2 linked regions of the Cricetulus griseus genome follow. The protein of the gene in region 2 interacts with the protein of the main gene of each other region in a biochemical or structural test. Links are inferred from orthologs where the notes say so. Each region holds a gene or a part of one and is shown on either strand. Other genes may lie near its edges.

Evidence for each region.
Region 1: of the proteins of Ifih1 (region 2) and Trim65, one has a biochemical effect on the other in vitro, tested with the Homo sapiens proteins (2 studies listed by BioGRID, with this or other methods). The link is inferred for Cricetulus griseus from reciprocal best matches to the Homo sapiens genes IFIH1 and TRIM65.

The regions. Positions count from the first base shown.
Region 1 is NC_048600.1:128,708,531-128,710,837, forward strand, and holds the end of Trim65 (tripartite motif-containing protein 65), read right to left. Parts: intron 2,291-2,307; coding exon 2,116-2,290; intron 2,002-2,115; coding exon 1,936-2,001; intron 1,424-1,935; coding exon 849-1,423; 3' UTR 502-848; downstream 1-501. UniProt on the Homo sapiens protein: E3 ubiquitin ligase that plays a role in several processes including innate immnity, autophagy or inflammation.
Region 2 is NC_048599.1:112,294,004-112,297,525, forward strand, and holds part of Ifih1 (interferon-induced helicase C domain-containing protein 1), read left to right. Parts: intron 1-265; coding exon 266-476; intron 477-1,735; coding exon 1,736-1,953; intron 1,954-3,170; coding exon 3,171-3,287; intron 3,288-3,522.

The DNA of each region.
Region 1 (2,307 bases), on a different chromosome or scaffold from region 2:
AGCTTTGTAGACCAGGCTGGCCTCAAACCCACGGAGATCCACCTGCCTCTGCCTCCTGAGTGCTGGGATTACAGTTGTGCACTGTCACGTCTGGCCAAGGGAGGGGCTATTGTCTAGTACTCAAAACATTCCAGGTTCTAACCCCAGTTAAAAAAAAAAAAAAAAAAAACATCCCAGGACCCTCATGGAAGCTTGTTCTGGAAGAGCAAGGGCAAGCTGTTCACATCCCAAGCACCCACACCCATCACCACATCTGCTCTCCACAACCTGTGCTTAGTCCCCAGCTGGTGGAACTGTTTGGGAAGGGTTAGGAGGTGTGGCCTTGTTGGAGAAGGTGTGTCACTGGGGGTGGGCTTTGAGGTTTCAAAAGCCCATGCCGGGCTTAGTTTCTCTCCCTCTTCCCCTCCCCCTCCCCCTCTCCCTTTCTCTCCCTCTCCCTCCCCCACAGATCAGGATGCAAAGATCTCAGCTACTGCTCCAGCACCAGGCTTGTCTGTTTCCTGCCATGATGATCATGAACTAACTCTCTAAAACTGTAAACAAGCCCCCAGGTAATGCTTTCTTTTATAAAACTTGCCTTGGTCATGGTGTCTCCTCACAGCCATAGAACAGTAACTAAGACAGATGTCTAGGCAATGCCAAGAACTTGGCTTTTGCTTGGGGCTGGGGCTTCTCCTTCAAAGAGAGTGAAAAGTAAACTTTGATTTAGATGCTCCCCTCTCATCTGTGTCCTGAGCCAACAGAGAGGCCAACAGCTATTCCTTGAACAATAGTGGCCTTCAGTCTCCAAGTCAGAGGCTGAGCCACTCTTGGCCTCACCGGCATGGTGACACTTGTCTGTGCCCCTGTCAGCAGAGTGCTGAGGCCTCTTCCCTGGGCCCTGGAGGGAGCTTGGCCTCAGGCTGGTGGCAAAGAGTGAGGGTCCTCCCCTCAAGGAGCCAGAAGACAGGGAAGAGAGGCTGGCTGAACACCGCATAGAAGGTATGGAGCCTCTCTGTCCGTGGCTCTAGGCTGTAGAAGTTGAGGCAGCCAGAGGTCAAGTTCAAATCTATGCCCAGGAGAAGTCCAGGTGCCCCATGTAGGCGCTCAGCCTTGCCGTTGTGCCAGGCCTGGATACTGTCCTCCTGGATGCAGAGGCCCCAGGAGTAAGGTCCACGGCCGATGTTATCCGTGTGGTTCCCCACCTTCCGGCGTGATAGTTTTGGGTAGGTGACACCCAATGTCACAGAGTGTTCAGAGGCACGCACCTCCCAGTAGTGCTGTCCAGTCTGAAAACTCTGGGTACACTGTACCTGCCACAGCTCAAAGCTGCCTGGCCTGACTGGGCTCTGGGCCTGGAAACGGTGTGTCACCTGCTGGTCCTCATGGGACAAGTACAAGTACTGGTTTGCAGTGTCCGGGTCAAAGGTCAGATTACGATAATCTATTCAAAAGAGATGAAGAGAAGCAGGCAAAGGTGTCATTTTTCTTTTCTACAGCATAGAGAGCTACTGCGGGTCCATTTACAGACAGTTCAAATGTCTACCAGGCTTGGAGGGCAGAGCACCAGGCATCATTATAGTAGCGAACTGTTCATTGCTACCTCTGAGCTGGGATCTTCTACATCTTCCCATTTTACAAGAGGGGAAACTGAGGTTCAGAGAGTTGAGATCACATAGTATTAAGTGGAAAAACTGTGAGGGACCCTAGGTGCATGTGGTCAGAATCTGCCCTTTAACACTTTGCTGGCTGCAGCTGCCTCAGGGCGGATGTGGACGCAGGTTACATCCTGCAACAAGTGCATAGGTGGGGCCAGGCCCAGGAAGGTCCATGGACAGGACAGTCATATCGGGGCCCTCACCCCATATATACCCAGACACATGCTTGCATACATGTGCTGTCATGAGCACACAGATGAGTGTACACGCACACACGTACACACACAGGCATCCTTACTCTGCCAGAGCTTCTTCCTCAGTGGACACATGGTGCTGGGGACTGGTGGTGGGGGACCCAAGGCCTCTAAAGAACAAATCAGAAATAGGGGAGTGGGTAGGAATGACCCCTGACTCCCCACTTCTACACACTAGTGGGAGGGAGAGTAGCACTCAGAAGACAAGGAGAAGTCAGCCTTACCCACAGGGCCAGCCTGGGCAGCTTTGCCTGCCACTCTGGAGGGCTTGTCTTCGAGGAGGAGCTCGCATAGCGGGCTAAGCAATTCATTCACGTTGTTCAACTGTTGCTCTTCATCCCACTGCAGAGCGGTCGGTGGCCCAAGGGACTCTACAGGCTCAGAGAGCTGCTGTAATCCCTGAACCCCAGGGACAC
Region 2 (3,522 bases):
TCATCAGCCTTATCTTAAATACCTTTGTGTTCTAGATGCAGTGTCTACATCTAATGTAAACACAATAGGTATTTAATGTCAGATGAATAGATTGAATGATATATAGATGGTAATTTCAAATTAACTGATTCAATACAAATATTTCTCTTATGAGTCCACACACAGTCCTTTGGCTGATATTCCTCTGTTTTTTTTTTTTTTCACTTTGGTTTCCTCTCTGTTTCATCTGAATTTTTAAGATATCTGTATGTTCTCATCTTTAAAGGTGATGTTAGCTGAGCAACTTTTCCGCAAAGAGTTCAACCCATTTTTGAAGAAATGGTATCGCATTATTGGATTAAGTGGTGACACCCAGCTGAAAATATCGTTTCCAGAAGTTGTCAAGTCTTATGACGTTATCATCAGCACAGCTCAGATCCTGGAGAATTCCCTCCTAAATCTGGAGAGTGGAGAAGATGATGGTGTGCAGCTGTCAGGTTGGTCGGAGTGATCACTTTTAGAAAAAAGGACTCATAGAAACATTAAAGACAGTAACAGGGGATGTTCCTTCAGTCATTTTTTACATGATGAAAATTAACCTTAGCTTATCTAAGTTATTTTTTATTTCATAAGGATCATCAAAGTGCTGTACCTCCTGAAAAATATGAACAAAAACAAAAAAATGTTTGACTCGAAGGCTTGCTTTTGCATAAGTATATCATTACTAAATCAAACATCAAGCACTCACTATGTTCTTCCATTACCCCTCTCTCTCTCTCTCTCTCTCTCTCTCTCTCACACACACACACACACACACACACACACACACACACACACGCACACACACACACACACACACACACACACAAACACTTTCAACTTAATTTTTGATTGACCCACAGTGTACCAGAATTTTTCTAAATCCTTCTTTGAGAGGTTAATAGTTCTTCCTTTGTGCTGTCATTCTGCTTGTGTCTCTCAGAGAGAATAATTACATTATAATATATATCATATATAAAATATTATGTATATAATTTTTAAATTTGATGATAGATCCTACTACAACTATCTTGTTTTGTTTTTGTTTTGTTTTGTTTTTGGCTTTTTGAGACAGGGTTTCTCTGTATAGCTCTGTAGACCAGGGTGGCCTTGAACTCACAGAGATCTACCTCTGGAGTGCTGGGATTACAGGGATGTACCACCACCCGGCTACAACTATCTTATTTACTGTAGAATAAAACTACAATCCTGCTTACATTATTTGGGAGGGTTAAATGATTAGGAGAAAGACAGAGAAAAGTAGAAGAAAATCACAATAATTAAATGCAAAGTTTAAACAACACAAAACCATCCCTCTTTAAATAGTATACTTTTCACTCAGTATAACAAAAATAGAATTTGTCAGCCTAAAATTAAAATTTTATTCAAGAACAAAAGTGGATCCCTGGGGAGATTTTTGTTTTTGTTGTTTGTTTATTTGGAAGAAAGATGTGAATTTCACTAACACTTTCTGAATCTTATCTTGAGACAGGGATAACAGCTAATAGGAACAGAGCCATGATTACCATACATAAACATGTTTTCATGTATGGTAATAAATGGGTAAAGTCATGACAGCAGATTGAGGTAGGGCTGTACCAATACTCTACCCAATGAAAGACACACAATGGTAGTGCATTCCTTTATAGCACCAAGGTGCTTGTCTTATTGTACCATGCCATTTTGGGTAATCAGACCTTCTACCTTTTCTGTTAAGATTTTTCCCTCATTATCATTGATGAATGTCATCACACCAATAAGGAGGCAGTCTACAACAATATCATGAGGCGGTATTTGAAGCAGAAATTGAAGAACAATAAGCTCAAGAAACAAAACAAACCAGTAGTTCACCTGCCACAGATTCTAGGACTGACAGCTTCACCTGGTGTTGGAGGAGCCAAAAAGCAAGCTGAGGCTGAAAAACATATTTTAAATGTAAGTCATTGAGTTAGTGAATGACCAAACAAGCTGTGTCTATGTCTTAGGATTTTAAATGGTGTTGAGAATTCAAGTGCCAATGTCATCAGTGAAATGAAGGCTATTTGCTTTGCCTCTAGAAATTAGCCTCAATTTTCTACAACATGTGATATCCTTCATAAATGCAAGCAATACAGAGCGATAGCATAATTGCTATGAAGCTAGATGTAATTAATGAGAAGAGTTACAGAGATGGCTCAGCCATTAATGGCTAGGCTCACAACCAAAATTAATGAGGTTTGGGTTGAGTAGAATGCCTGTGCAGCTACGTCGTCGCTTCTGCACTTGAACTTCATGATCTTCTTGATAAAGAAACATAGTTAAACTACAAATGTTGACAATGTTCATTCCTGATGGCTTGTTACTCCATGACTTTCAAAGCAGCTTGCTTTCTGTGTCTTTTTCCACTATGTGTCAGTTTAGGATACAGGTTATTCAAGTTAAAAGAGGAAAGAGGCAAATGCAGTGGTTCCTGCCTTTAATTCTGGCCAAGTGGGAAACAGAGCCAAGCAGATTGCTGCTAGTTTACATAGTGAGTTCCAGGCCAGCTAATGCTGCTGAGTAAGACCCTGTCTTACCCTGGCTTTGGGGATGTGAGTGGGGGGAATGAGAAATAGAAATAGGAGGATCTTTTATTAAAGATGTACTCATCAACTTCCCCATATGGGGGTGCCATTTACAGTGCTGCTGTTGGTTTCAAGTGAGATCATCAGAGTCCTCAGAAGCCTCCCATTGTAGGTTGAATTCAGTAGAAATTATTAAATTAAAAACCATTCAGAAGAGTGTTGTCTCCAAAATATAACTTATTATGGGAGTAAAAGCCTAACTTCTACTTAGGATCTAGGCACAAAGAGTAAGGCAGCCCCTCCCTTTGTGCTGTTCTCTTTGTATGTAGAAAAGAATGAGGCTAAGTCCTATATAACATCTACAAAATGGAATTTAAAGGACAAAAAAGGAATTAGAACACACTTTTAGAAGATACCAGAATATTATTGATCATTGATTGATTGAATCCATAGTAAGCAATGCTAAAATGCTACAGTTAATAAATAATGTTGCATATTACTTGAATAAAATGTTATGCTATATATTTATGCTAAAAACTTCATGTTACACTTTGCTGACACAAAAATATGCATTCAATTGTAAGAATACTTAAAGTGTCTCTTTTCCAGATATGTGCCAATCTTGATGCATTTACCATTAAAACAGTGAAAGAGAATCTCGGTCAACTTAAACACCAAATAAAGGAACCATGCAAGAAGTTTGTGATTGCAGATGACACCAGAGAAGTATGTTCTAAACATTTCACACTGTCTGTCAACACTATATTGAATTGAAAGATGGCAGGGGTTATCTTACATTGACTGACCAAATATTTCCATTAACATTTTTATCAAAAAGCCATCATTTTATACTTTTAAAAATTGATACAAGGCACCAGTACTTAGCTACAGATGATTCTTGGAGGAGTGGAAGTATTGGACTGAGGAGCATTGAATGGCTAAACTGGAGGGATTATAGGTG